Alligator mississippiensis: one gene and its partner. The protein of the gene in region 1 interacts with the protein of each later gene in a pairwise test. Links are inferred from orthologs where the notes say so. Each region holds a gene or a part of one and is shown on either strand. Other genes may lie near its edges.

Region 1 (15,240 bases):
TGGGGCAACAGATATGGATGTCTAAATTATTGTAGGGTTCAGTTTCTTATTTTGAGTACAAAAGAAGAATAAAATACCTTCAAAACAGATAAGATAAAATCTGTCTTGTAGCATCACCCAGTGGAACATCAGAAACAATGCTGCCTTGTTTATATGGCTTTTTAAGAAACAAACAAAAATACTGAAAATCTTGAAAAACTTAAATAAATAGCTGCATAAAATAGAGTAGAGCTGGCTCTTAATACAGGTTTCTATGTACTCTATTTACCCAAATCCAAGGTGACTCTGAATTTAAGATAACCCCTCAATAATTAGATTATTTATATGGAAAATTTATAAATTTACTATAATTTTCCATACACAGAATCCAATTATCAGAGGGTCATCTTAAATTTGTCCCCACCACCACTGCAGTAGGGGGGCAGGCATACCTTGCACCCTGTCATACCTTGTTCCATGCCACCTCTGCCTCTCCACATATTCCCCATTTTCTTCATCCGACTGCTTACCACTTACTCCAGCCCCAGCCCAGGGCAAGGAGCAGATTCTTGCGCTAGCCAAGCCTGGCTGGGTGGCAGCTCCAGCCTACGCTCCAGGGCCCATCCAGAGCTGCTGCTGCTTTCACCAAAACAGCTGTTATTGGACCAGGTGGGAGCTGGAGCAAGCACATGCTCTGTGCCCTGAGCTGAAGCAGGGCTGAAGCCCTGCTGGTGATGGAGCAAGGGGAGGTGGTGGTGGTGCAGATAGGGGGGCAGAGGCAGCAGTGGAACAAGCAGCAGCTGCCCCCATGCTACTTTGTACTTAAATCCAAGACAAGGGGCTTTTCCCCAGCTTTGTTAAATGTGGCGGGGGAGGGGGGAGGTGATCTTGTCTTGGATTTGAGTAAACATTGTATTTTATAAACAACAGTCTGTACTTGCATCATGGAGTCAATTAAATCATACAAAATTTCAATTTAATCAGAAAGAGTTTTGTTTTGTAAAGGATACCATAACTTGACTCATTCTGAGCTGAAGCAATGAGGCTTAGGGTAGAATTCCTTTTTGTTGTTGTTTTTGTGTTCTGCTGCTGCATGTTCAACCTGCCACTTTTTTGTCCATGATAGATTTACTGTAATACAAATTAGGAGTCTGGAGAAGATTCAGGTTCAGCTTTCTTTTTCTTTAGTGTCCTTATATTTCCGTAGGTTCTACCAATTTAGGTCATGTTTCTGTAGACTGCTAATGGTAAAACTGCTTATACTGACTCATTCTAGCACTAACTTCAGAGCAAGTATAAATTCCTTACCAAAGATGCATGAAAAGATGTGCTCATTTTTTTTCTGGACAGTGTAATGCATTAATGCGTATTTTCCTAACTAAAAACATTATTTTAGAGCCTCTTGAAAATTTTACTGATGCAGTGTTTCCTATTGCAAAACCTGCTGTCAGGTGATATAGGAGCCCATTTAAAATTCTGGTTAAAGGGTGTGCTTTGCCTATGACTGATCAGGTAATGGACAAGGTTAATCTTTGTGAAATTATTAGTACTGTTGTTGTGAAGATGACTACAAAGGAAGTAGAGACATTTAACATAGCTGGCCTTTTATTTTTAAGATTTTGCTTTGCTCTAGAAAAATAGAATTACAAATTAATTTGAAATTCAAGCAGCAGTATTTTATTTTAGCAGAGAGAGAAAGTCTTGTGTTTGACAAACTGAAGTTGATAATCACCAGAAAATTTATTTCACTTCGTAAAGGTGTTTGTTTAAACATTTAAACATTGAGCTTTCTTTTGTTTGTATTTAGCGTCTTGAAGACTTTTCTCCATGATCCTCTTGTGGAATGGAGTAAACCAGTGAAAGGTAATACAAAAACACAGGTGAATGAAACTGGGGAAGTTGTCAATGAAAAGGTGAGTTGCAAGAAGTTTGGTTTACTTATTGAACTACTGTTAATTATTTCAAGCACACAGTATCTATAGGTTTCAGAAATTGTGTTCATATTCAAGGAAAGCTTTACTTTCATGTTTTTCTTTTAAACCTATTTTAGCCTTTTTAACAAATGATTTATTTTCTGATATTCTATCTTTAAGTATAGTGAAACTATAGAAAATGTTGTTAACACATACTGTACCTTTTTAGTATCATTTTCTAAGGTTCTATATTTACTGAAAAAAATTATGACCCTCTAGTTCTTCACCAGTGTCAACAACATTAGAAAGCTTTCGTTTATATAGGGTTCATGCCTTTCTCCAACATGCTGCCCAACCTTCTAAATGGCATAGTGATGGTAAGTTTATCACTATCTATACCAGGGTTGGGCAAAATGTGTCCTGGGGGCTGGATGTGGCCTGCCAGACCATTCTATCCGGCCCGTGGGGCCCCTAAAAAATTTAGAAAAATAATATTTATCTGCCCTGGGCTGCCTGTCACGCGGCCCTTGATGGCTTGCCAAAACACAGTAAGCATCCCTCTGCCCAAAATAATTGCCTGTCCCTGATCTATATCTATCAAGTTTTTTCATTGCTTCTATCATCAGTGACTCTTAACTGATAAAGGAATATTGTTATCATCATTTACCTAGTATAAACTAGTCTTGGCAGAGACTATTCTGCACCAACTCAGAGGTACAGAGTACCCAGAGTACACCTGGGGCTGACCCTTCCAACCATGTGGAGCAAGGGTGGAGTTCTGCCATCAGTGCCATTCCTCCCTCTGCTGCAGGGCCAACAGCTACAGCTTTAACCCTTTTGCAGCCACTGCCAAATTGATAGTAAGCTGTTCACTGAGCAGCAGGGGGAGGAAAAATGGTGGTGACAGAAGGAGCCTGATGTGTGGTATGTGAATAAAACAGAGCATTATTCAGGCTGAATTTTTCTGTGCCAGGTCTCTCCTCTGGCTGTTCTTGGAAAACTTCATCCAAAGTGGTTCATCCATTTCTAAGAGCAAGTCTAAGGGAAAATATTTTGTTTTGCCTATGTTAGAAACATTTTCTACAATTTTGGTTTTGAAAGCACAACTTGGAATTTGGTAGGTGGATAGCTTTTGTTTCAGGGATATGCCTTTTGTTGTCTGAAAATTTGCCCATATTTCACTAAGTTATAAGCCCATGACAAAAAATCAAAATTCAAAACTTCTCAATAGCAATGTCTTAAATGTTGATACTTTAACTTCCTAAAGGATTCTGTACACATTGGGTATGCTTCAGCCCAAGGCTGAATTATAAAACTGTAGGGTTTGAAGAGACTGCAAGTGTTATCTGGTTGAGCTCTCTGTTCAAATCCAATATTTTCTACTCTGAAACTAGGCTGAGCCCATCTTCGCTTGCAATTGCAGTTCTGGGAATAGCAAAAGTTAGTGGTAAAAGATAGGAGCATACAGAAGATGACAGGCTACTGTTGCTCTCAGCTGCTCCATTAGGTCAAGTGGCAGAGGTCTGTGTATGCAATCTAAAGTTTCCAACTCTGTTGATGAACCAAATGTATTTCTATATGTTGCTATATAATGGAACTTCCAGGTGTTTTTCCAGTTTCATTTTTTTAAAGCTAGGAAATAATGCAGGGAAAACTATGTTAAAAGTACATTACAGTAGAGCACTGGCTTTGCTGTAGTTAAAGTTGAGCAGTATTTTCTCTTTAAAGGTCAGCTCCGTCAAGAATGCTTTTAAATCTGCATTCTTATTTGAACTGCCTTAAGGCACCTTGCTCCTCATGGAAATGGTAAAAAGTATTAGTTTTCCAAATCTGAGGTCATCCAAGTGAGAGATCTGACTAAATGGAATTTTATATAAACAGATGGTGCTTACAATGAAGAATTTCATGGCCAAGACCTTTGGTCTCCAAAGAAAGTGCAGAGGTGCACCAGAGTAATGGTGCTTAGAGTAAAGTAAGGTCTTCTCTCCTGTTTCAGAAAGCAGTTATGCTCTGGGATACCACAATTTGTTTTCTGTGGTAAGCCTCCTGTGATAGAACTATGTTCAGAACAGTCAGGCAGGCACCCTTAACATGCACTTCTGGTTTGAATGCTGAGGGGAAGACCAAAGACTGCATCCTCTAGGTGAGGCCTTAGCATAGACCTGTTTGCAGCAGTGTCAGGCTTTCTGTTCTATGGGAGATCTGTGCCCAGAACAACTAGCTGTCATTTGATTTTGTTGGGACAGGTACATGCCTAACTATATGCCACTCCAAGATAGTAAAATTGGTTAGCAGGCAGCATATGCATGGATCCTGTCACAACCCAATTAAGTAGTGCCCATGTCACAAACAAATAAAACCATTCAAAACAGTTTATTTCTGCGCTAGGTTAACTAAGGGTTAACAATAATGATAGTAACTGCTTTTTTTGCTGCGCATGTCAAAAAAAAATTTATACCTGCGACACCAACATAAAATAGAACTTAGCCTTCTGTGCTGTACATAAATCATTATAATTGGTCGGAATGACAGGGGAGTGTCCCTCTGATAACACCCTAGCGAAGACCGCTAGATAATTGGCGATTCTAATTAAATTTATGACGTGGCAAAAAGCAATTGGCTATTACACAAATAAAACCCGTCTTCACTTCCGTGAAGAATGGGAGACCTCCGCACACACACCTGAAAAACCTCTGAACGTATATATGAGAATAACTGACACATTAATCACTTGTCAGTCTCCCCCGTTTCGACCTAATCAGACGTAAATCAACGACCTGCCGGCCCGACTTTTTTTCTCCATTTATCTGCCCGACTGACAAACTCTTATGCAGACCGACCTATGACCTACGAACCTTAAGCTATAACTAACCAAATATCTCTGACTTCCGCTATTCACCACCTTAACGGTGTGAGTAAATAATCTTGCTTTACAACCGATAAGCGTCCGCCTAATTAATTCCACTCCAAGCGTCACAAGTACCCGCCTGACGGCCTTCTAAGGCCCCGGACCCTTATCTGCCCAGGTGGGAGTCAGGGAGAGCTGCTGGCCAACTGCCCAGGGTCCCGACAGATCCTAGCAGATTGTACAGCCCGCACGGAAGCCCCCTGCATTTTGATTGCTGTTGTGACCTATACTAACCAAATTGAAGCTAATGCAGGTGTGCCTGCATGTACTGAAGTCACACCTTCAGCTGAGGTGTAAACACACTAAGTATATGAGTCGTACACGTTTTATGATGATGAAAGGACTTTCTTAGCTAAAACATATTTAATTACTACCTGTGTCAATGGCTTGCATAATAGCTTATTCAGTATTTTCTAAATTTCTAGCCATAAAATGAATGGTAAGTTCCAGTCCTTGAGAATGATTCACTCTCTTTTTTTCATATTTGGGATTTGGAGTAAATGCAGACTCAGGAAAACAAGAATTGTTTCATTTAAAAATGTGAAAAAAATTATATTTACAATTTTAATTTTTCTTTTTCCTTGTTTCCAGGCTAAGACCCATGTCCTTGATATAGAACAGCGGCTGCAAGGTGTGATTAAGACTCGAAACAGGATAAAAGGATTGCCCTTGTCTATTGAAGGACACGTCCACTACCTCATACAAGAAGCAAGTGATGAGAATCTGCTCTGCCAGATGTACATGGGCTGGGCTCCATACATGTGAAATATTGCTGTTCACAACTGATACTGATTTTTTTTTTTTTTTTTTAAACAAACTGTTGAATTGATTTAATCACGCTATTTTTTTACCTTTGTTGAATACTGACTTGGAACATAGGTTTATGCTAAAACTTAATGTGAAGTCTAAGGAATTATATATATATGTTTGTTGTAGTATGTGAGGTGTGTATTCTGTATACATAGAAATGCATCTGTTGCATGGTATACGTTTGAACATGTATACAAATTTGTATTACATAGGGACATACATTTTGTTTTATGTATACAGAGTACAACACTCTTTCACTATTAAATAGAAAGTACAGTTGTCCTTGTGATGTATGTGCCTTTTATATATACTCAGAATGTGCAAAGATACAACCTATTATGTTATTGAAGTAAATTATATTTTATAAAATATTACACATTTTCAGAGAATTTTCTTTTCCCTATTTCAAGGAGATAAGTGTGACCATACGAATGCCCATACATCCTAGTATAAAATGAACTGCATTACAGTATGAGTGTAGTAGTAGACCTGTGAACTGCAGTTGTGTCTATAAGAGGGGCTTTCCAAATCTAAAAAAATGTTTTCAAAATATTCATTTTCGGGTTTTAACAAAGCTTTCCTGTGGTCAGTAAAGCATGTTAAGTGACTGCATCAGATCACCTGTTTGATCTGTCTGTTGGTGGGGTAATCTGGATGTAGAGGGATAAATACATATCCCTACCTCAGTGCAGAGAATCTGCCAGAATATTAACACAGCATACAAAAATAGGTCTGGAGAAATCCTCAAAATAATCTAATGCAAACCTTGTCTAACCTGCACTTGAATTTCCATCACAAGAAGTTTCTCACAGCCTCTAGTTAACCTGTGCCGGTGCTTCTTCCTAATACACTAACTGATATCTTCTTCGTTGAAATTTAAGCCCATGCTATATATATAACACGGGCAACTGGTGCCTCACGAGTCTGGGGGGGCACCAGCAGGGCACAACTGGTGTGGGGGTGTCCCCCAGCAGACAGTTGCTGAGCACGCCAGCAGCATGGCAGTGGCGGAAGTGCTGCCAGCAGAGCCAATTTCAGGGGGGCACTAACACTCTCTGTGCCCCCCTACCAGCCGGAGCGCTCGCTGTCAGGCGGGGCACCAGTGCTGTCAGGGAGGCATGTGCCCTCCCATGCCCCCCCTACGTGTCGCCTATGATATATAGTGCACAACTTTTGTCATTATTATCCTGACAAACTAGACTAGAGGCCTCTTTAAATTGAGAAGACCTTAAAATGGATGCTGAAGTAGAGTAAGGAGAAGCTTGAGAGAGTCCAGAGGAGAGCCATGCAAATGAATAGAGGACAAGAGAGCAGGCCTTATGAGGAGAGGCTGAGAGACATGGAACTCTTCAGTCTGGAAAAATGTAGGCTCAGGGGTGACTTGGTGGCAGCCTATAAGGGGTGTGCACCCCATGGGAAGACTAGGTCCAACAGTCACAAACTCTTGGAAGACTTTTAGTCTGGACATAAGGAACAACTTCTTTACTGTCTGAGTCCCCAGGGCCTGGAAGAGACTCCTCCCAGAGGTGGTGTAAGCACCTACTCTGGATTCCTTTAAGAAACACTTGGATGCCTATCTTGCTGGGATCTGCCTGTCCTTTGGGCAGGGGGCTGGACCCAATGATCTTGTGAGGTCCCTTCCAGTCCTAATGTCTATGAAATCTGTAAGTATGTCTTGTGAATCCTTCAGCTTTCCCAAATATGATTCCAGAAATTCTAATATTATAAAAGTTGTAGTCTATCTGTCTGTCCATAACACTTTATTCGCACTCTGATTGGCTGACGGAAACAACCAATCAGTGCAAATACAGCGTTCAGACAGGTGGTGGCAGAGCACTGCCATGATGGGGGGACACGGGACCTCACCCCCCCCCCCATGCCCTGCTCCCTGGAGTTGGTGACAGCAGTGCAGGTGGAATGGCAGGTCTGCTCCCCCCTCCCTCCCTCCCTCCCTGCTTGCTCCTTGGAGGTGGTGGTGTTGGGGGGAACAGGCTCGGGATGCTGCAAGGGGAGTGAGGCCAGCCCCCACCGCTCTACTCCCTGCTGGCAGTGAATATGGAAGCTGGCTGCTGGCCTCCCTCTCTATCCTACGCTGCTCCATCCTGACATGGGTGGGGAGGAGCAAGTCTAGAGGCCAGGGAGAAGCAGGTTTGCCACAGTGGTGGTGGGGGGGGGGGGGGGACAGCAGACCCAGGCTGATGCAGGGGGCTGGGAGGAGCGGGTCTGGCCCTGAAATGGCAGCAGGAGGTTGGGGGGCACACCAGGCCTGGCTCGGCCCTGAAAGTGGCAGGGAAGGTGGGCGAGCAGGCCCAGTGCCAGCCCCACAACAGCAGCAGGGAGGGTGGAGGGACAGGCTGGGCCCAGCCTGGCCCTGAAATGGAGGGTATGGGGGGGGGGTGCAAGTGGCAGGAGGGTGGGGAGAGGGTTGGACCCGGCTCCACAAAGGTGGCAGGGAGGGTGGTGGGCACCAGGCTCGGCCCTTCGTGGGCGTGGGGGAAAGGGGGAGCAGGTCTGGCCCCGAAAGTGCGGGATGGAGCTGGAGGCAGGCCTCTGTCCTCACCTGCAGCCCCCGCCTGCCATTCTTGATGGGCAATTGACTAGTATTTAATATGTTTTTAAATTGAATGCTAGGTGTTCTACGGATACCATGGATGTGTCGTTGTCCAGTAGGGCACATAAGACCTGTTAGACTATGAACAACTGCTGCCTCCTGAGACTCGGGGGGGGGGGGGGGGGGCGCAGTTTGTGGGCAGTGGGGTGGGTGAGCAGTGACCACCTGCAGAAGGTGGCAGTGGCCATCTCGGGGAGGGGCGGGGGGCGCACGGGCCCGCGTCCCCGTCCCCCTCCCCCATGTCGCCTATGCGTTAGACGGACCTGTACCTAACTCCACTGAACTGAAAACGTTATCGAGGTTCTTGGGGCGGCCAAAAAAGTTGCAAATTTAAGATTTGGACTTGCACTTAGAAGTGCGCACACTCTTCCTGGCTGCTTCCTCGAAATACCCATGCTGCCATCTCTCCTCTCCTTTCTCTGGCCTCTTTCTATGCTCGAAGCCCCTCCCGCCTCCGGTCTTTCTGCACTACACCGCCGCGCTCGCGCTCGGGTGGTGGGGGGCGGAGGCCGCCTTCCTCAGCCCGGCGCCTTCCGTGCGCCAACGCTACGGCTGGAGCGGGTGTCACGGCGGGGCTCGGGCCTCGCACGGCCTCTGGCCCGCCACAGCTCCAGCGTCACCGCTGCAATGCAGCGCAGGGCTCCCCCCGTCTGTCCCCGTCCTCGGCCTCCCCTTGTCTGGACGGGGACCGGGCACCTCCGCAGCGTCCGGCTCGAGCCGGGCCTGCGCCCCCCAGGCCACAGGGGGCGCCCGAGCCCCGCCAGGCGGCCGCTCCGCCCGCGCGCGTGTGTGTGGCGCAGGGCCCCTGCGCCCGGCGCGGCCCGGCCCGGCCCGGCTGTCAGCGCGGCGCGCCGGAAGGGGCCGAGGGCGGCCTGACGGACGGAAGCCCGCGGCGGCGGCCATGGGGGTGCCCAAGTTCTACCGGTGGATCTCGGAGCGGTACCCGTGCCTCAGCCAGGTGCTCAAGGAGCATCAGGTGAGCGTGGCGCGGGCCGCCTCCTGCCCGGGCACAACAGGTGGCTCCGAGCCCGGCGGCGCCAGGGGGAGCGGGCGGGGAGGCTGGAGCCGGAGCCCGGGCAAGCAGCAGAAGTGCGTGCGGGGCCCGAGGAGCCCAGCCCGGCCCGGCAGAGCCGCGAGGTTTCGTTGCTGGTCTCTGAAGGGACTCGGGGGGTCCCTGGCGGGGGCAGGCGGAGACGGGGGAAGGCTGCACGGGGTGGACCCAGGTGACTGCTCCCTGCCCCGGGCAGCTGCCAACTGCTTCTCGGCTCCTGGCTGTCCGCCCTCCTCCCCCTCAAGCAGGGACTGCCTCCTCGCACCTGGCCCGGGTTGGGCACCAGCCCTTGTTTTATCTGCAATTCGCCCGAGTCTGGAGCTGCTTCCTTCCCAGGCCGGGGGAAGGGCGCTGCTGCTCAGAGCTCATCTAGCATCTCTCCCAGTTTAGTTCCCGTGCCAGGGTTGCCCGCACCTTGTGGAAAGACCTGGTCCCCGGCAAGCTGTTGCTCTGCTCTGCCATCTCTCCCAACTATGTGGTTGGTCCAAGAAAAGATATTACCAGAAATGTGCTCCTTGCTTCTCTGTTTTTAAACAAGGCGCAGTAACTTGTAAGGGGGAGGATGGATGGGGGGGAGGTTTGCACCAGGTAAATTTGAAAGAGCCCTTTGAGACACTGTGGCCAGGTTGCTTGGGTGTAAACAGACAGACCTGACTGAGAGTTTCAGACATACTGGGGACTGACCAGACTCCACCCCCAGTCAGGTGATTAGATAAGGGCAACCTGAAAGCCTATGGTTTGACAGGTATTATACTTCTTTTAAATCATTATACAGTTGAAAATTAATATACTTCTTTTAAATCATTACACAGTTGAAAAGGTTGGAAATTACTGTTTTCATCTGAATTCAACATGACTTTGAATTTAAAATGACCTCCCAATAATTAGATTTTATACATGGGAAGTCATAAACTTGTTATCGTTTTCTGTGGATAGCATCTAATTATTTATTGGAGGATCGGCTTAAATTTGGGTTGTTGTCCCTCTCCCCCTTCCCCCCACTGTGTTAGGGGACAGGTGGCCTGACTCGCACCTTGCCTTGCTTACCACCCCACCGCTTGTACCTTCTGGTGCAGGGACGGGCAGTTATTTTGGGTGAGGACCGCTTACTGAGTTTTGGCAAGCCATCGAGGGCCACATGATAAGCAGCCATGAGCAGATAAATATTAATTTTCTGAATTTTTTAGGGGCCCCGCGGGCCAGATAGAATGGCTTGGTGAGCTGCATCCGGTCCCCAGGCTGCATTTTGCCCATCCCTGTTCAGGTGCCTGTCTCCCTGCCAGTAGCCCCCCACTACTTTCTCTTGTCATGTATCCTGCTGCCACCTGCCCCTCTTCCCCCAGCCACTTGCCTCCCTCACTGCCTGCTCTTCTTCCCCCTGGAGCCAGAGCTGGAGTAGCCACCCAAGACAAGGTTTTCTGGGGGGAGGAAAAACCTCCCTTGGATTTGAGTAAATATGGTCTACCCCTGGTGGATGGAGGGAATGTCTGTACTGTGTCCAGCATCTGAAACTGTCAGAATTGTTTTGGAACCCATTTACTTATTTGGCTCACAGCTCAGCTGGAAAGCTAACAAGTTTAGTTTTTGTTTGTGTTTCACTTTCTGCAAATGCTTTCACTTTCTTCTTAAGTGCCAAATAGATGTTGCATAGTTTTGGTTACAGATGCAGCACACACATTTTATAATTGTTTTCTTTGAGTTTATGCAAACATTTAATACTTTTGTATTTAAGTCCTTTCATTTTTTCTTCTGTGCAGTAAAATTTACTTTTAACCCTTTAACATACTTCTGACTGTGTATTTTTATTCAGCAAAAAATTATCTTTGGCCAAACAGAATAGCATCAGCATATATAAGAAATATATTTTCTAATTCAGTAAATGTCTGTTAGACTTCAATCTCAGAATCTAATGGGAACCGGGCTCCACAAAGTATTACGGTCAAGGTGAATGTCATTGTAACGGAGAAGTGTGGGTTTTGCAACCTCATGTCATCCCCTCGTCCCTTGCACATGAGTCAATTTGTTTTAGTAGCTGAGAAAATAATGCAGAATAAAGGAAAAATGAAACCATAAATTTTCTCCCCTGATCCAGAGATCAGCAACATACAGCCTGCAGGCCAGAGCCAGACAGCAGAGCCACTGAATGTGTACTGTGGAGCTGGAGGTTTTTGCCTGTTCCCATATCAGGGGTGGGTAGCAAGAAGTTGCACTGGGGCCAGGCAGCTTCCAGCAGTGCCTGCACTGCTGCTGCTTTTCCTTGCCCGTCTAGCTCTGTTATGACACAGGTGAGTGATTTCAGTGCTGCATTAGCACAGGGGGATTTTCCTGCACCCGTGCTGGAGCCAGGTAGCTAGGAGGATGGGCAGAAGTAGTAGCCAGGTAAAAGTGGCAGCCAGGCAGTTGAGAGTTGTGCCTTTGCCACCAGTGCTTCTCCCAGTTCTCTGCTGCTGACTTGCCACTGAAGTCACTGAGCTTGCGCTGGGTCAGAGCCAGGTTGTTCTGACCTGGAGCTTATAAAAGGTTGCTGGCCCCTATCCAAATCAGTAGGACAGAAAAAGCATACTTTTCAGAATAACTGGAATTGAGAGGAAGAAACGGGAGCATAACATAGTTTGTTGTTGCTTTTCTTTTTTTAAATAGTACCATACTTTAAAAAGGAGAGCGAGGGGGATAGGTTGCAACAAGACTCTCCTAGTGTAGGACACAGCTATGCAGGCTAAAAAAAATTTTGGTTGTTTTTTTTTCCAAGTATAGCTTATTTGAATTCAGCAAACAAAACAAAACTATGCCAACAAAAGCACTTTTGTCAGTAAAACTCCATATACACTTGAGCTTCTGAGGACATTGTTTTGTGTAAAAAAAAAAAAAAAAAAAGCCCTAAATGACCTACCTGTGTTGAGAGAACTTTTAAGTGTAGACCTGGTCTTATTTTAGTTTGGCTTAAGTTATTGATTTGTTACAAATTTAAATGAAATTGAAATTAGAACTTAGAGAGGACTACTGGACTACTAATTCAGTTTCTACTGAATTAACTAAAACAGTGCAAGTTTATACACAAGGCTATTTGCTATGGTTCAATAAATTTTAGTAATTAAGCTCCTCCCTATTGAATATGTAATTCTCAAAATAGTTTCTCACATACTTTATTTAGCAAGCCAGTGCAGAAAGAAAGAAATATGCTTCTCAAAATGATTACTCAGCTTAGTCTGAGTCCTTTACTTGAAAGGATATCTTAAAATATTTTTATTAATGTTAGATGTTTTTTTCCACAAGTAGAAATACAAGTAGATAACTTTTAAAAAAAATTCTATTTTAAGAACTGTCCTGACATAGCATAAAATGTGGCCGTTATTTTCTAAATGGCAAAGGAAGTTCTACATGAGCAAAACTTGATTTAGCAAGGAGCAGCAAAGGTTTTTATTGAATGCCCAAAGCCTTCACCTAGCACAGTTATGCCTATTGCCCTTCCTGTATCTGGAAAGTGGCTAAATTTATATCCATAAAAACCAGAAAGTACAATATAACCTTCATTCTGCATCCTGGAACTGGTAAGGGTCACTGGGAATTGTTCAGGAATGGGGAATGTCACAATAAGTAGTCTTAAAAATAATGGTATATTCTTTTAGATCATGGGCCAGAGTTTTGAATCCCACTGTTTATATCCATGTACTTTCAGTGCCTTCATTGTATTAGGTGTAGCTATAAGGAGTGATGAAGAGGTTAGTTGGAGCAATTTAGCAAAGCTGTTGCAGTACTATAACAGGAGGTACACATATAATATGAAGGATCAAGGATACCTCATTTCAGTAGTGATTTTGTGGATTATTTCCACAGAAGTGGACAAAGGTGTCTTTTTGTGACAGACATTTTCAGCAGGCTCATGGCAGTGGCCTCCAGGGTATTGAGTGGGAAGGAATTGTCTCAGAAAGCATCCACAGGCCAGTGTTCCCAAACTTTTGATACCTGGGGCACACTTTTTTTCTGGATTAAAATTGGTGGCACACTTTACTCTTATACCCAAAAAGGAGGGAGGGTGTGTGTGGGGGGGGGTGCATGCGTGTGCGTGTGTTCGTTCGTTATAAAACATATTTTGTTCCCCTGCCAGAGGAAATTGTACCTGTGCTGAGATATAATGCTAAAAAATAATCTTTATACCAGTAGTTCTCAACCTTTTTTGGCTTCAAGTTACCCTTCCATAACTTTTCTGAATTTTGCAGCACCCTAGTTGAAAATCACCGAGACCGTTCTAAACTTTTAAAAGATATGGTGGGGGGGGGGGGGGGGGACCTTGGGCTTAAAGAAGGTGAGAATCATCGATCTAACTGGTGCCACTTAAGGGCAGTGATAGCAGGACCTAACCCTGCTGTGCCACTCTCTTCCACTGTCTGCCCTTTCCTGACCCCTGGTCTGTACCTTAGGGAGCAAGAGCAGTTCTCGCTGCTGAGGCTGCTTCTGCAGGGTCTCGCATACCTGGGACCAGAAATGGAGTTGGTGTCGCCTGTTATGAGAGAATGAAGTGAAGCGCAGGAAGGCAGTTGGGCAGATGAGCTAGCTGGATACAAAGTCTAAATTGTGACATTTGAAACCATGTCAGATTTGCAGTGGTTCTTTTGCCTCTGTCAGAGTAGGACCAAACATGACACAGTTGTAAAAACAATTTGCAGTTTTTTAAGTTGGAGCTTCCCAACTCTACTTTGTTTCAACTGTTCACATGCCTGTATTGAGATTTAGTACAATTGCAGCAATAACTCTGAGCTGTGTAAACTGCTCCTTTCCTCAGTTTGTGTTCCTATTTCCACCAGAGGTGGCAATTATCCCCACTCATGTAAGGGGGAAGAGAAGCAGAGAGATGAGGCAGCTTGCTGTGATCCTGATTGTCACACAGGAGGAGGAGAAATCCTTAGTTCTCACACTGTTCTCCACCTACCTGTCCCCACTTTCCCCTTATCTTTTTTCCCTTCCTGTGTTCCCCTTTCCTTCACTGTACCTCCAGATCCAACCTACACATGCCCCCCTGCACTGCTTGAATATGCCTTAAGTAACCCTTCAGTTTGCCATTATCCTCCATTCCTTCACTCTGCACCAAACAAAAGGTTATGAAACAGCTTATGTCATAAGGCTGTGTATTGGAACTCCCTTGAACACATGACTCAGTACCTTGTTTTTCTGTTGATCATGCCAGGAGATATGATTTTGCTGTCCTTTCATCTTCCCTCTATTTGCATGTGGATTTTAGAGCACTTCAAAATATTGTTTGTTGTAAGAGTTTTGATAGTGGGGCAAAACTTCGAACATATGCAGAGGCTGCCAATAGTGTGGAATTCATCAGTGCACCGATTCACTGATCACTGTGTATCAGACTGTCAGAAAACTCTGTCCATTAATATAAAGTTACTTTTGCTTGTGTTCAGTCTATTTAGCTCTGTAGTTAGCACAAACTGACATTTAGGGCTAGACTAATTTCAGTGCTGCTTCTCTGAAGCAGGGGGCAACTGGCTTCAGTTAAAGTAAATGCAAGCCGTAGTTCAGTGATGATGGGAGACATTTTTAGCCATGGATTTGCATGGAATGGGATAAGAACCAAAGTGCTGTTAGTTTAGGTAGACTCTATCTTAATCTTTTGCTCAAATGACTCCAGATTTGTGCCTTTAATGCTGTACCTTCTGTACCTTTAACCCTGTGCATAGTAGATTCTCATGTTATTTAGAATACTTGCTTTTAAACAGAAAACACTGCTCAACCTTGACTGTAGCAGAACTACAGCTTGTCTATAATTAGTCTTTTTTGTGTGCTGGACTATACCGTAAGCACTTTGAAACAGGAAGGTGAAATGCATGTTGTTAGAGAAAGTGTCAGTTGAGATCTAGATCAGTGGTCTCAACTTTTTTTGACTTGAGATTCCCCTTAGAAAATGCCACCTGATAGTTTTCACATGTTTCTCGTCTACAGAAAATAACAGCAGAGTTCT
Region 2 (15,886 bases), on another chromosome or scaffold:
GGTTTTGTGTGTGTGTGTGTCCTGGACATATGGGCCCTGCATGTGTGCATGTGTACCCTGGGCACCCAGGTCCTGCGTGTGTGCATGTCCTGCACACCTGGGTCCTCTGTGTGTACATGTGGGCATGTGCATGTATATGTACGTGTGTGCGTGTCTCCAGGACACCTGGGTTCTAAGCATGTGTGTGTGTGTGTGTGTGTGTGTGTGCGCATGCACGTACAAAGCGCTGCACTTCCCCTTTTCCCCACACGGAGGCACCCTTGGCCCAACCTACACTGGTTCTGACACAGATGGGGGGGGGGGGGGCGTGTTGGGGACACGTGACTGTGACTGTGACTGCCCTCCCCCGCCCCATCCCGGCTTCCTGGAAACCAGCAGGGAAGGTCGCAGGGTTCGTCTAGGACACAGAACTGCATTGTCCAGACCCCCCCCCCGGCCAGGAGCGGGGGTGCTCGGGGCTGTACAACCCCCACACCAGGCCAGGATCGGGGGTGCTTGGGGCTGTACAACACCTCTCCCAGGCCAGGATCGGGGGTGCTTGGAGCTGTACGGACCCCCCCCCAGGCCAGGATCAGGGCTGCTTGGGGCTGTACAACCCCTCCCCCAGGCCAGGATCGGGGGTGCGTGGGGCTGTACAACCCCCCCCAGGCCAGGATCGGGGGTGCTTGGGGCTGTACAACGCCCCCCAGGCCAGGATCGGGGGTGCTCGGGGCTGTACAACGCCCCCCAGGCCAGGATCGGGGGTGCTTGGGGCTGTACAACCCCTCCCCCAGGCCAGGATCGGGGGTGCGTGGGGCTGTACAACCCCCCCCAGGCCAGGATCGGGGGTGCTCGGGGCTGTACAACCCCCCCCAGGCCAGGATCGGGGGTGCTTGGGGCTGTACAACGCCCCCCAGGCCAGGATCGGGGGTGCTCGGGGCTGTACAACGCCCCCCAGGCCAGGATCGGGGGTGCTTGGGGCTGTACAACCCCTCCCCCAGGCCAGGATCGGGGGTGCGTGGGGCTGTACAACCCCCCCCAGGCCAGGATCGGGGGTGCTCGGGGCTGTACAACCCCCCCCAGGCCAGGATCGGGGGTGCTTGGGGCTGTACAACGCCCCCCAGGCCAGGATCGGGGGTGCTCGGGGCTGTACAACGCCCCCCAGGCCAGGATCGGGGGTGCTTGGGGCTGTACAACCCCTCCCCCAGGCCAGGATCGGGGGTGCGTGGGGCTGTACAACCCCCCCCAGGCCAGGATCGGGGGTGCTCGGGGCTGTACAACCCCCCCCAGGCCAGGATCGGGGGTGCTTGGGGCTGTACAACGCCCCCCAGGCCAGGATCGGGGGTGCTTGGGGCTGTACAACACCTCCCCCAGGCCAGGATCGGGGGTGCCTGGAGCTGTACGGACCCCCCCCAGGCCAGGATCGGGGGTGCTTGGAGCTGTACGGCCCCCCCCCCAGGCCAGGATCGGGGCTGCTTGGGGCTGTACAACCCCCCCTAGGCTGGGATCGGGGGTGCTTGGGGCTGTACAACCCCCCCCAGGCCAGGATCGGGAGTGCTTGGGGCTGTACAACCCCCCCCCCCCCCTCAGGCCAGGATCGGGGGTGCTCGGGGCTGTACAACCCCCCCCCTGGCCAGGATCGGGGGTGCTCGGGGCTGTACAACCCCCCCCAGGCCAGAATCGGGGTGCTCGGGGCTGTACAAACCCCCCCAGGCCAGAATCGGGGGTGCCTGGAGCTGTACGGACCCCCCCCAGGCCAGGATCGGGGGTGCTTGGAGCTGTACGGCCCCCCCCCAGGCCAGGATCGGGGCTGCTTGGGGCTGTACAACCCCCCCTAGGCTGGGATCGGGGGTGCTTGGGGCTGTACAACCCCCCCCAGGCCAGGATCGGGAGTGCTTGGGGCTGTACAACCCCCCCCCCCCCCTCAGGCCAGGATCGGGGGTGCTCGGGGCTGTACAACCCCCCCCCCGGCCAGGATCGGGGGTGCTCGGGGCTGTACAACCCCCCCCAGGCCAGAATCGGGGTGCTCGGGGCTGTACAAACCCCCCCAGGCCAGAATCGGGGTGCTCGGGGCTGTATAACCCTCCCCAGGCCAGGATTAGGAGTGCTTGGGGCTGTACAAACCCCCCCCCCCCCCCCCCGCCCGGCCAGGATCGGGGGTGCTCGGGGCTGTACAACTCCCCCCCCAGGCCAGGATTGGGAGTGCTTGGGGCTGTACAACCCTCCCCCTCAGGCCAGGATCGGGGGTGCTCGGGGCTGTACAACCCCCCCCCAGGCCAGAATTGGGGTGCTTGGGGCTGCACAGACCCCCCAGGCCAGGATGGGGGTGGGCACCAGGCCCTGTCCAGCCCCCAACATAGCATGATCCCCTTCTCCAAACAGGGGACACATACAGAAGGCTGCCCCCCACCCCCGCCCCCACCCCCGCCTGGTGGAGCTGGGAGCTGAAGAGCCCAGAAGTCCTGGCCACTCGTCCCCACCGCCGCCTCCTTCCCTTGGGCTGGGGGAAACTGAGGCAGGCCCAGGCCCCAGAGGGGTGGGGTGGGGTGGGGTGCACCCAGCTCAGCTCACCGCCAGGTTTCCCCCAGCCCTAAGATAACCGCTAGGCCACCCAGCCATCAGGGATGCAGCCCCCCCACCCCCACAGTGGGGGGAGCAGGGTGGCCATCAGGGGGTTTCTGAGGTCTTTCTTGCCCTCCCCTGGACCCATTTCCCCGTCCCAGGAAGTTGGGTCTGGAAATGCGACTGAGTCTGGGCTGGGTGGAGGAGCAGGCAGCAGCAAATAACAACACCGCCCCTGCCCCCCCCCCCCCCCCCCCGAGGCCTGTGGGTTTCTCACGGGGCCACGACAGCCTGGGGCAGTGGTTAGCACTGACTCAGTCGGCCCCAAGGGAGCCTGGGCGCTTTGGGCCTGGGAAGCGATTAGCGCTAACGAGGCTTTGGCCTGCTCAGGGGGTTGCAAGCCCTGCTGTACCCTAGCAGGGAGGGGAGTGGGATTGGGGGTGCCCGGTGCTGTACGCCCCCCTCCCAGGCCGAGAAGGGGGCAGGGGAGGAAGGGGCTAATGGCGGTGACATTGGGGGTGCTCTGAGCTGAGGTTTTAAGGCTGGAGACCCAGCACCGGGCAATGGTGTCCCATCCCCATCTCAGCACCTCTGGGCTGGAAGGGGTTAAAAGCGGCAGAGGGGGGGCCAGCCTCCTGGGCTCCTGCCCCCAGCTCTGGGGAGGGGCAGGGCGGCCCAGTGGTTAGAGCGGGAGCTATGCCGTGCCTCAGTTTCCCCACTCCAGCCCTGTGCTCACTCCTTCCCCACGCTGGCTTCCATCCCCCCCTCCCCCCAGGGCTGCCGCTGTCCTCCGTGACCCCGGCGCTTCCCTCGTGACTCATCGTGCGACTCGTGCGAGGCCTCGCACGGGCGGTGTCACTGGGCCTGGGACCCAGAAGCCGCCCCCACTTCCTGTCCTACTTCTCTGTGCCGTGACGCTACCGGCTCCACCCCAGAGCTGGGTGCAGCGCCGCACGGGGCCAAGGCGGCTCGGGGCTGCGAACGCCAGGCCGTGTTGTACTCAGCTGCCCTGCTCCACCCCAGAGCTGGGCACATCGCAGCACAGAGCCCTGTTATACTCAGACCCCCTGCTCCACCCCAGAGCTGGGCGCATCCCCTAGCTGGCGAACGTCCCCCAGCCCAGACAGAAGAGGAATTAACCTCTGACCCTTGGCCCTGGGGCCCTGAATTGGCCAGAGGAGCCCAGACTGGGGTTGCTAGGGAGACCGCTCCCTGCCCTCCCCAAGGGTAAACTGAGGCACAAGGTGCTTGAGGAACGCAGGTGTCCTGATTGCCAGCCCGGTGCGGGGGGGGGGGGGCAGGGGAAGTGAGCAGACAGATGGGCCCCATCCGCGCGAGCCCCTCGTAGGAGGCCCCATCCTTGTGCAAGACCCCCTTGGGCAAGACCCGCCCCCTCGTGCTCACGTCAGCGCACGGGTCCAGCTCGCTGCCTTTTAAGGCTGGCGGCCGGGCCGGGCCGGGGGAGGAAGAGGAAGAAAGAAGAGGAAGGGGACGGGGTGGGGTGGGGGGGCTGGCAGCTTACAGGCCCTGTCGCCCCCACAGGCACAGGCATGAGCTCACAAGCGCCCACAGCTGCCTTCGCACACCCGGGCGGGGCAGGTCCCAGCCTCCCCCCACGCGAACATGTATGTGACCTCAGGACCCATCTTTGGGGATACGAGGGGACACACATGGCCCCCCCCCCCCCAAGTATCCAGGTCATGTATACACACACACACACACAAGCCCTGTGTTCAGGATGAGCGTGCACACACACACCCAGACCCTGGGAAACGAAGGGGCCTCTTCTCCTTTCCATTGAAAGGGGAAGCTCGAGGCCTGTGGGGGCGGAGGGGGGGGGGGGGCTGCATGTTCCAGACACCTGGGGTTTCTGTGGGGGGGAGGCTGGGGGGCACCGGATGTCCCTGCTCGGGGCCTCGCACGAGGATGACATCACTTTTTCCAGCCCCGGAAAGTTTGGGCAGGAGATGAACATGCGCCGCGCCGGACGCCCGGGTTCGGGGCAGCGGGTAGAACCGGGGGGTGGGCGCCACATGCGCGAGGGGGGGCCAGGAGGCCTGGGGAGGGCAGGCAGGAGGATGCAGGGGCTGCGTTCGTTCAGGGGGCTCGGGCCCAGGCCCCCGCACACGCCCCCGGACAACGCGCAAGGCTGGGCCTCCCCAGCCCTGGGCTCCATGCACACGTGTGTGTGTGTCCTGGACACCCGGGTTGTGTGCGTGCCCGTGTCCCGCATACCTGGGTTCCAGGTGTGCATGTGTGTGTTCACGGCCAGAACCTAGACACCCCCCCCACCCGGTTTCAGGACCAGCCAGGCCGGTTCCCAGGCAGGGCGTGGGGCCGTCTGTGCCCGCCGCACCCCAGTGGCGTCAGCATGACGTGGTTGGGGCCTTGGTGCGGCTGAGGCTGGGGCGCGGCCCACGGAGCAGTGGAACGCCCCGCGCCTCAGGCCTCCACCTGCAGCTCTTCCCAGGGGGCCTACACACCTCCTCTGGGCTTGAGACACCCGATTCGCCCCCATCCACCCCTCCTCCCCAGGGATCCTCCAATGCACAGGGGCCCTAGCGAGCACGGCGTCTGCTCCTCGACCCCCCAGACCACCCCCAGCCCCGCCCAGCTCGGCTCGGCCCCTGGGCCCCGGCTGAGCCCAAATTATATATGCATACATACACACGTATATGTATATACACACACGTACACATACATATAGATATATACAGATAGAGAGACAGACAGACAGATACACCTATGTGAGAGAGAGAGCGAGATACAGACAGACACCAGGCAGCAAGAGAGAGACAGAGGTAGAGACACGTGTGTAGGGACAGACAGACACGTCGAGAGACGTCCCCCCCCCGCATAATAAATCCCGCAGACACCAGGTTCTTGTGGGTTGTAAACATTATATTTCTCGCGCGACAGCTCCTAGCACTTTTAACACAGAAAATAGACTGTCGAGTCATATATATATATTATTTTGGTAAATTACAAAACAACAAATGAAGCCCCCGAGAGATAAATAGCATATAAAATTCTGTCTGAAATAAATAAGGGGCTATAAATAGGTCGGGGAGGGGGGGGGTTCTTGTTCCTCCTGCCCGGTGAGAGGCTTGGATTTAAAAAACGGACGCGTGGGAGGGGGCAGGTTTCGGTACGGGGGCGGCTGAGCTTGCCCCAAGTGAGTCGGGGACGGGGAGGGGGTCCGAGTTCAGATCTGTGGGGTTAAGGCACATTTCAAAGCCCCCCTTTTCTGGGGGGAGACCCCCAAAGAGGCAGGGCCTTGAAAAATCCCCGAGGGATCTTGATTCAGAGACCTCATGATTACGCGCTGGGCTCGCGATTTCCCCCTCCGACGGGCTCCAGTGTTTCAGGGAAGGGGGCGCGGGGGCGGCTATTGAGATACCCCCCCACATACACAAACCCCTGCTGCGACGGCAGGGAGGGTGGCGGCTGTGACCGGGCTCAGAGGTGCACAAACCCCGCCAGGCCTGGTCCTTTCCAGGCCCCTCCTGGAGGATACCAGGTACCCTGGGGAGGGGTGGGGGGGGCGGGATAACCGGACTGGACCCCTGGGTTTTGCCCAGAACGACATTATCTCGGGACACAAGGGCTGATCCCAGGGCCAAGACCCCCACCAAGGGCTCCAGGTCTCATCCTTCAAGCACGTTCAATGCAGCCGTATTTCCTGGCCTACGACGCGCCCTTCATGTATAACACACACCTCCATTCAGTCCCTGCTGCCATGGTGGGGGGGGGGCAGGGGGAACCCCCAGTGTCCCCCAATGCTGGAAGCTGATTTTGGGGGGGGGGGGGGGAGGAAGGTGCGCGTTGTAGGTGAGAAGATACGGTACCGACCCAGGCTCCGCCAGGCCCTGCCTGGGAGATTCACAGCAGGTGATGGGCAAGGGGTGGCACAAAAGGGGCAGGGGGGAAAACACGGGAGACCCCCCTCTCCAATGGGGTCTCCCCAAAAATGCTACATACCAGCTACAATCCAGCCCCTGGCAGGATCGGGACCCCCACGCACTGGGCGGGGTGTGGGGGAAGTCCCCCTCTCCAAGGCCAAAAGGTGGCATCAACAAGGCACTTCCATAGGAGTGGGTGTGTCCGGGGGGAAGCCAGCCCCCCAAAAGTAAGAGCACCCAATAAGGAGTGGCCGTGGCCCCTGCCCCGCCTCCTTCCGCCAAGGCACTGGTGAGCTCATGAGGATGGGGATAGGGGGGATCTGGTCCCCGGGCACATGGGGAGCTGGGGGGCACTAGGTTTTGCCCCCCATGCCCCGTGCAACATCTGGATCCACAGCTGGGGGGGGCGGGGGCTCACTCGGACACCGAGAGGCGGTTGAAGATGGGCAGGCGCCGGGCGCCGGCCCCGCACGTGGCAGGCGGCTCGAAGACGGGCGACTCGGAGCCGCTGCTGTCGCCGTCGCGGTCCGAGAGCGAGGTGGACGAGGGCGCCCGGGGCAGCAGCGCCAGCAGCTCGGGCGGCGGGTTCGACACCAGCGAGTCCCAGGAGAACGGCGCCGCGTGGCCCAGGCAGGAGCAGAGGCAGCCCCCGCTGCCCAGCGGGGTCTCCCCCAGCGTGGCCCCGCGGCACACGGGCGAGGGCGCGCGGGCGAAGCCGGCCGGGTCGGGCAGGCCGGGCGGGGGCGAGGGGCGGCGCTGCGGGGTCCCGGAGTAGCTCAGGCTCTGGCGCAGCGGGGGCAGCGCTGGGGGGGAGCTGCCGGACCAGCTCCGCTCCTCGTCCAGGTGGTGGATGAAGTTGCAGCGGGCGCCGTAGGGGCACTGGCCCAGGCGGTAGAACTTGTGGCACAGCTCGGTCTTGTACTTGGGGTGCCGCGCCAGGGCCCGCAGCTCCCCCGGCCCGTGGGCGAACTGGCACTTGGCCCCGTACTTGCAGCGCCCGGTCTCGCGGAAGGTGCGGCACAGCTCCGTCTTGTAGCGCGACGACGGGGCCGGCGGCGGCGGGGAGGCCGGGGGCCGCAGCGGGGCGAAGCCGGGCGGCGGCGGGGGCAGGCTGATGGAGCGGTCAGCTCGGAAGCTGGCACCGGGGCCCCCCCGGGCGGGCACGGGGCTCCAGGGGCTGCGCGGGGGCCAGGCCGGCTCCGCCGGGCCGGAGCAGGAGGACGGGCGGCGTCGCGGGGCCTCGTCGTCGTCCGACAGGCAGGCGCTGTGCAGGCTCTGGGGGGCGAAGGGAGGGAAGGGGTCAGCGAGGAGTCGGCTTGGCCCCAGCCCCCCAGCAGGGCCTGGTGCCCCCCTCACCTATGCAGCTTCTAGCACTGCCCCCACTACCCCAAACCCTGCAGGGACTGCGGCATCGGCCCCCCCCACCAACCCCAGGGCCGGGGGCAAGGACCCAGGCGTCCGGGCGGGTTATTTCCAAGCCGCCGAGCGGAGGCTGGAGCTGGGCCCGGCTTCCGGCCGGGCCCCGGGGAGGAGGGAAGAGCCATGACGAGGCCTCGGCCGAGTCTTGGCCCCTCTTAGGCTGGGGGCGGGGGGGAAAATCAGCTGCGATAGCCCAGAGCAGGAAGCGTGTGTGGGGGGGTGGGGGGGCAGCAACAGCACCACAAACACGCACAGCCACAGCACAACACACAGACACCTGACTGACACGGACACACACACACAGGCACAGGTGCGTGCCTGACACACCAGAAACACACACATCAGAGATGGGGACAGAAGGGGGACACAAGAGACACACCCCAGAGACACGCACACACAAATGTAACACAAAAGACACACTAGACACAGATGTGACACGGAAGGCACACAAGACACACCTGACACGCCAGAGACGCACAACATAGAGATGGACGCAAACACAAGAAAGACACACGCCAGAGACAGGGGTGCATACATGACATGGAAACACCCACGACGCAGAGACCAGCACAAACACGACACCAAAGACACGCGCACGCGCACACGCAGCTTCTGTATCTCTGATTTACTTCGTTTTAAAGGTTCGTCTCTACCTGCTTTCTGCCGCCACAGACATCCAGGACACACGCGCGCGCACACACACACGCGCCCCAGCATCCAGGGGCAATGCACAGACACACAGAACCCAAGTGTTCAGATCTCTCTCTCATGCACACACATCCCAAGCATCCAGGACACACACACAAGTACACACACACACACACAGAACCCAGGCATCTGGGACACACACAAGTACACAAACACATACATGCCACCCCCACCAGCCTACACCAACTTTCCTTTCCAGCTCGGGACAGGAAGAGCCCCCTTCCCCGACCCCAATCACCCCCTGCCTGGGGCAGGAAGATCCCCTTGCCCGACCCAGGCTGGGGCAGAGTCCAGGCAGCCTGTGGGGGGGGGGGGGGAGTAAAGGCCTTGGGGGGGAAAGGAGGGGTCCGGACCTGGGGCTCAGCCCTGCCCGCACCACTCTCAGCCCCTCCAGACAGAGAAATATCCTCCCCCAAAAACCATAGAGGGGCAATTACAACAACCTGCCCCCCCCACAAACAAGCCTACCCCTCTGCCCCGTCCCTAGATCTGCTCTACCCCCCGCCAGCCCCGTCGCCTCCATGCAGCAGAGCTGGGGGGGTGGGAATAGCAAAGAAATGCCCAATCTGGGGGTAACAGCAAAGATTTACCCCTTTTGGGGATCCCCCGGAGGGGCAAAGACAAGGATCGGCCCCACCCAGCCCGGCCGGGCCCCGGCCCCAGCCCCTCACCTCGCACAGGGCCTTGACATCCAGGAGGGAGCTCATGGCGTGGCCGTGGGGGCTGGGGGCTGCGCTGTCAGTGGGACCCCCAGAGAGGAGCAGGCAGAAGCTGGGGTCAGCACTTGGGGCTGGGGCTATATAGGCTGAAGCCCCGCCCCCTCAGCGATGACCTCATCGCTGTTGTAAGAGGCCCTGAAAAAAAAGCAAGCCACCAGAGAATAGGGTAAAACCTGGGGAAGGGAAGGGAAGGGAAGGGAAGGGAAGGGCTGGGCGTGGGGGGGAGGGAGAAAGGGGGGGCCTGGATCAGGATTGGGCCCAGGGTCTGGGCTGAGGGGGAAGGGGGTGGAGAGAAAGGGGGGCCAGGATCAGGGCCACAGGAGCCCCGGGGGATGGGGCAGCACGGGGGGAAGGGGGGGTCTGGATCAGGATTGGGCCCAGGGTCTGGGGAGCCCTGGGGAGGGGGCAACGGGGGGGTAAGAGAGAAAGGGGGGCCTGGATCAGGATTGGGGTGGGGCAGCAACAGCCCCAGACAAGGGCTGGACTGGGGTGGGGGCAAGTTCCCACACCCCTCTAGGGTCGCACACACTTGTGCAAGGTCCTTGATGAGGGGCTGTGTCCCCTGCCCACCCCATGGTCCCTTGGCTGGGCACAACACACACACACACACACACACACACACACACACACACACCCCTGGCAATACGTGCAGCCCTGCCCCTCCCCCTCAGGTACCGGCCGGGCGGGGGTGCGATGAGTTTGCACCAGGCCTCAGCCTGCATCTCCCTGCCTCGTGCCCCCCCACCCCGTGCGAGGCCGCCGGAGCCCGTACGTGTGGCTAGGGGGGTGACTCAGTGCCCGTTCCCGGAACTACCGGGGCCCCGGGGCTCCCCTGGCTTGCACAAACCACCAGGCCAGGGCCCTGCCTGCTCTCGTGCAAGGCCCCTCCAAACCCCGTGCAAGACCCCCAACCAGGCCCCGTGCAAGCTGCCTCCTGCCCCACGTGCGAGGCTCCTGCCCCCACTCCCAGGAGCTCCCAGCCTCAGCGGTGCCCCGTGCCGCGCTCGGGGCTGGACGAAGCAGGCCGGAGGCTCCCCACGACTCCTGGGCTCCGCGCGGGGAGGCGGGACAGGGGGGTCTGTAGTCCCCGGGGTCTCCCCCCCCTGCGCGGGGGGAGCTCACAACTGTGCCATCATCAAGCCAGGGGTGGGGGGGCCCGCTTGTCCCTCGCACGGCCGTGCAAGGCGCTGCTTCCTCGTGCGTTGCACGAGGGGGTCACTCGGGGTACCTGGGGTTTGGTGCGGGGGGGCGCAGGGGGAACAGCTGCCTGCCCCCCGCCCCGCACTGCTGCTTGTGCCCGCACACAGCCCCCGTGCGAGCGCGAGCGTGTCTCGCACGAGGGCACAGGGCACCCGAGCTCCCTGGGACAGCCTCTCCCGGTGCTCCCAGTTTCTCTTCGCCTCTGAGTCAGGTCCCGGTTCCTGGAAGTGAATCACGGGCGCGGGCACGAGCACGAGCCCGAGCCCGGCCCCGCCCGCCCGCCCCGGGAAGCCCCTGGCCCGGGCCCAGCCCCCGCATCTGCCGCCAGCTGTGCACCCGCATCCAGCTGTGACCGGGGGGAGGGGGCACCGGCCTGCCCCCCTTTGCCCGGGTGAATCACGACGTTTCACAAGAGCCGGGATCGGGATCGGGATCTAGGACGGGGGCGTGGGGAGACGGGGGGGCTGAGTCAGCGCCAGTGGCTATAAATAGCCGGGTGCCCCCCCCAAACCAGTGAGGTCGGGGGGGCGGGGGGGCAAGTCGGGCAGGGAAAGGCTTGGGACTGCCGGACACCTGGGCTCCCCCCGCGACCCTGACCCCGACCCCGACCCCGAGCCGCCGCCTGTGCTGGGAATGCGGTGACGCAATCAGGGAAGGCCCCGCCCCCCCGCCGGTCCCGGGTTACACAATGAGCCCCGCCCCCGTGACTCATCCCCCCCCAGTCCCCTCCCCCCCCGCCGACGGGGCATTTCCCAGCAGGGAGTCCGGCTCCCCTGCTCTAACCACTCGCCCGCGCTGCCCGGCCCGGCCCGGGGACGGGGACGAGGCCGGGCCCGGGCAGGAAGGGGTTAAGCCGCGCCGGGGCCAGGTGAGCTGGCAAACAATGAGCTCATGGGGCGGAGCCAGGAGCTGGGCGGCGCGGGGCTTAGGTGCACTACGGTACCGAGAGCCCGGCTGCCCTGGCTCCCGGGGGAAACTGAGGCAGGGCCTGTTGCACAAGTGTTGGGAGCTGCGCGCGCTTCTAGGTGTGCGGCTCTGCCCCTTGCACTAGTGGCTGGACGGGCGTGCACAGCCGCAGCCCCGCTGCTCTGCCCCTCGCACGAGGATCTGGAGCCACGTGGGCAGACAGCTCTGCTTCTGGCACGAGCACCAGGAGCCACACGCTGCCCTGTGCAGGGGTGTCTGGCGCTGTACACGCTCGTGGGCGTGCAGCTCTGCCCCTTGCGCTAGTCACCGGAAAGGCTCGTGCACATGCACGACCCCGCAGCTCTGCCTCTTGCATGAGTGTCCAGAGCCGCACGCATGGCTCTGCCCTTTGCACTAGTGCTGGGAAAGGCACTGTGACCTCCGGACCCCGAACCCAGCGCAGGGCCACGTTGTACAACGGGGCCACGAGTGTTTGGAGACGGAGGCAAAGGGCAGAGGCCGCTGGTCTCCTCTCCCCTCGGCCGGATCCGTGGGACAATGCTCGTGAGCACACGCTGCCCAGGGCCCAGCACTCGCACGACTGGGCTCCTGCCATGCAGCCCAAGGGGGTGTGCATCTCACACAATAGCTGCACCAGTGAGTTGGGGCCTGGGGCACAGAGCAGGGCCCTTCACACGAGGGGCACTAGTGAGTGGAGGAGAGTGCCAGGAGCTGCACGCACACAGCCCCTCACACGAGTGCCAGGAGCTGCACGTGCACAACCAAGCCCTCTGCACAAGTGCCAGGAGCTGCACACGCAGAGCACAGCCTCTTGCACGCATGGCAGGAGCTGCACATGCACAATCCAGTCCCCTGCACATGTGCCAGGACCTGCACCCACACAAACCCAGTGCCTTACATGAGTGGCAGGAACTGCACAACCACAGCCCAGCCCTTTGCTCAGGTGCCAGGAGCTGCACACACGCTGTCAGGCCTCTCAAGTCCTGGCACAGCAGTGAATTCTGGGAAGCCCCCGGGAGAGGTGGGGGGCCCTTCCTCTTCCAGGAACCAGGCGCGGCTCCGGCTTCCTGCTCCAGGCAGCTCCGGAGCCGGAGCTGGGAATTCCCCTGCTCCCAGCCTGGGCAGCGGGAATGTCCCCAGCGCTGGTGCATCGAGAGGCAGCCGGCCCGCGCCCCCGCTCCCCGCCACAGCCCCTGGCCTCGGGGGCCAGCACCGGGAGGCCTCGTACGAGGCTTTGCACAGATCCAGGGCAGAGGTTGGGGCCCTTTGTGCGAGGACCTGCACTCACTCCAAGGGCAGGGATTGAGGGCCCTCGTGCGAGGGCTTGCACTGATTCCAAGGGCAGGGATTGAAGCCCCTTGTGAGAGGAGTTGCACAGACCCAGAGGTAGACAGGGCCTTTCGTGCGAGGCTTTTCACAGATCCACAGGCAAAGAGCAGGGCCCCTCACACAAGCCTCCGCCTGCCTCCATTGTGCACGTGTGTGTGAGTGTTGTGAGCGTATCTTCCGTGTGTCTCTAGTGAGCACACATGCATGCCTGTGCTAGGGAGGCGCATCACATGTGTGTGCGTGCATGTGCACGCACAAATGTGGACATCAATGTGTCCCAGGTTTGCCTTGTGCATGCATGTGGAGAGGGGGCAGTTGCATGTGATACATGTGACAGGCGTGTGTACAGAAGAGCATGTGCACAGAGGTGAGCGCCTGTGTGAGCACGTGTGCATGGGCATGGGGCAAAATGATGGGGCGTGCACATGCCTGGGGGCCTGCACACAGGCGAGGGAGTGCATGCACACGCTGTAGCACAGGCCGTGTGCACATGCATGTTGATTCATACACATTTGAATCATGCAACCAGTATGCACACGTGTCATGCAGGACACGTGCATAGCACATTGGGGGAGAAGTGTGGGTGCCCAAGTGTCATGCAGGACAAGTGTGTTTAGCACATGGCAGGGAGCACCACTGTGTGCACGTGTGTCACTCAGGACACACACTTAGCACAACAGGAGGCCCCCCGCTGTGTGCACACACATCGTGCAGCACACACATGCTTAGCATGTGGCGGGCACCTGCTGCGTGCGCACACGCAGGACACACTTGCTCAGCACATGGGGGGCAGGGAGCACCTGCTTCAGGCCTACGCACACAGCCTGGGGGCTTGCACACGCTTGTGACTGAGGTGGGCACGGGGCCCTGCCAGTGGCGCTGCCTGAGGGGGCACCAGTGAGTTCCCGGTGCCCACCCTGCCCCTAGCCCTTCGGCGCCTTGCCCGCTTGGTTCTGCTTTTCCAGGCTGTTGAAAGCCCCGTTCCATGGGCGTGAAAACCCCTGTGACGCCAGCCGGGCGTGCGAGCGCTCTCGCACGGGAAGTGGCATGTGAAGCCCGCTAGGGGACGGGGGGGCACAGGGAGAGTTAATGGGGTCACAGGGAGCAGGGGTGTGCTGGCCCTGCCCCCTGCTGCGCCAGCCATGACGTGCGCACACGCGTGTGGTTCACGTGGTGGCGCTTGCTTGTAAACACTGGGGGAGGAAGGGGCCAGCCCGGAGGGGACTGAGGGGCCCGAGCGCCCGGGTTCCCCGTTGTAGTGGGGTGGGGATGGGGGGTCCAGGCGCCCGGGTCTCCGCCTTGACGGTGCTAACGGGAGGGGGTTGGGGGTCCCTGCCCTGGTGGGTGGGGATGGGGGGTCCGGGCACCCGGGTCTCCGCCTTGACGGTGCTAACGGGAGGGGGTTGGGGGTCCCTGCCCTGGTGGGTGGGGATGGGGGGTCCGGGCACCCGGGTCTCCGCCTTGACGGTGCTAACGGGAGGGGGTTGGGGGTCCCTGCCCCGGTGGGTGGGGATGGGGGGTCTGGGCACCCGGGTCTCCGCCTTGACGGTGCTAACGGGAGGGGGTTGGGGGTCCCTGCCCTGGTGGGTGGGGATGGGGGGTCCGGGCACCCGGGTCTCCGCCTTGACGGTGCTAACGGGAGGGGGTTGGGGGTCCCTGCCCCGGTGGGTGGGGATGGGGGGTCCGGGCACCCGGGTCTCCGCCTTGACGGTGCTAACGGGAGGGGGTTGGGGGTCCCTGCCCTGGTGGGTGGGGATGGGAGGGCTCCCGGGGGCCCGGGTTCCCCTCCAGCCCGCTCGCTGGGCAAGTCCCGGGCCCGGTGACGTGGGCACAGGCGCAGCGCCAGCCCCGGCAATGCTGACACAGGCCTTTGCGCTCTCGCACCCGGTGCCAGGACAACACGAGCCGTTGCCCTGGCAATGCCGGCGTGTTTGTGCCAGGAAACCTGGACCGGGGCCAGGGGCAGGTGGGGAAACCGAGGCAGCGGCGGGGAAGTGGCGGGGTGAGTCAGGCCCGACCGCTGGTGCCCAGAGGGGACTCGAGGACACTCTGCTCCCAGAGCAGGAACAGGGCCCCCAGGCGCGCGGGCTCCCGGGCCCCGACCCGTTCCAAGGGGCCTGCACCCCACGCTCGCACACGTGTGCAAACGCCCACAATCCCCGACCCCCATCACAGTTACAGCCCTTCGCATGGGGGGGCTGGGATCTCCTGCGAGGGGGCTGCCTGTTCCACCTGGGGGGGATCAGCCCCTTCCTTGCCCCTTGTTGCCCCCGGGGTGGGGGGGGCACGGGGGGGAAATGGCCTCCAGCAGCCCCAGAAAGCCCCGGCTTGCAGCAGGGAACAGGCTGTCCCCTGCCGTGCCCCCCGCCCGCCGCCCAGAATAGAGGCAGGAAATGAGGTCAGCGGCCCACGGGGAGCCGCCGTGGCCTGGCTCCTGTTTGCAAACAGCCGTCACTGCCTCCCCCCCACGTGCTCACAACTGCCCCTGCGCACTCACTACTACCCCTTGTGCACTCAGCACAGCCCCCCGTGCACCCAGCACAGGCCTCATGCACTCACTACTACCCGCTGAGCACTCACCACTGCTCCCATGCACTCACTATTGCCCCCCTGGGTGCTCACTATTGCCCTTCATGCACCTACTACTGCCCCTTTTGCACTCAGCACAGCCCCTGTGCACTCACCACTGCCCCCATGAGCTCACAACTGCCCCCCGGGCACTTACGACTGCCCACATGTACTCACTACAGCCCCCTGGACACTCACTGGGTTTCCTCCCCAGCTCCCAGAAGGCTGATCCAGCGGTTCCAGGGCAGGGGCTGAGTCAGGCCCTGGGCTCTTGACGCGGCGCCAGGAAGGTCAGCGAGTCCAGTGGTTAGAGCGCAGGGGCTGAGTCAGGACGCCTGGGTTCGGTTTCCAACTGTGGGAACGGGGGGGGGGGGGGGAGGGCAGGAGCCCGGGTCCCATCCGCAGCTGGGGGTGGGAATCAGCACCCGGACACCTGGGTCCCATTTCCCTGCTGGGCCCCTCTCCCCGCGTGCCTCAGTTTCCCCACTCTTGCAGGCCTGGAGCGTGGCTTGAGCCCTCCAGATTTACACCCCAATGAGGGCCAAACCGTGGTCTCTTCCCCCCATACAAGGA

Evidence for each region.
Region 2: the proteins of XRN1 (region 1) and ZFP36 interact in a two-hybrid assay, tested with the Homo sapiens proteins (2 studies listed by BioGRID). The link is inferred for Alligator mississippiensis from reciprocal best matches to the Homo sapiens genes XRN1 and ZFP36.

Annotation. Positions count from the first base shown.
Region 1 is NC_081830.1:56,411,023-56,426,262, reverse strand, and holds the start of XRN1 (5'-3' exoribonuclease 1), read left to right. Parts: upstream 1-9,027; 5' UTR 9,028-9,122; coding exon 9,123-9,197; intron 9,198-15,240. Other genes in the region: serine/threonine-protein kinase ATR, read left to right, coding at 1,787-1,892, 5,392-5,565. UniProt on the Homo sapiens protein: Major 5'-3' exoribonuclease involved in mRNA decay. Required for the 5'-3'-processing of the G4 tetraplex-containing DNA and RNA substrates. The kinetic of hydrolysis is faster for G4 RNA tetraplex than for G4 DNA tetraplex and monomeric RNA tetraplex.
Region 2 is NC_081838.1:1,300,129-1,316,014, reverse strand, and holds ZFP36 (mRNA decay activator protein ZFP36), read right to left. Parts: upstream 10,746-15,886; 5' UTR 10,518-10,745; intron 9,546-10,517; exon of another isoform or gene 9,425-9,545; 5' UTR 9,278-9,424; coding exon 9,242-9,277; intron 7,719-9,241; coding exon 6,858-7,718; 3' UTR 5,422-6,857; downstream 1-5,421. UniProt on the Homo sapiens protein: Zinc-finger RNA-binding protein that destabilizes several cytoplasmic AU-rich element (ARE)-containing mRNA transcripts by promoting their poly(A) tail removal or deadenylation, and hence provide a mechanism for attenuating protein synthesis.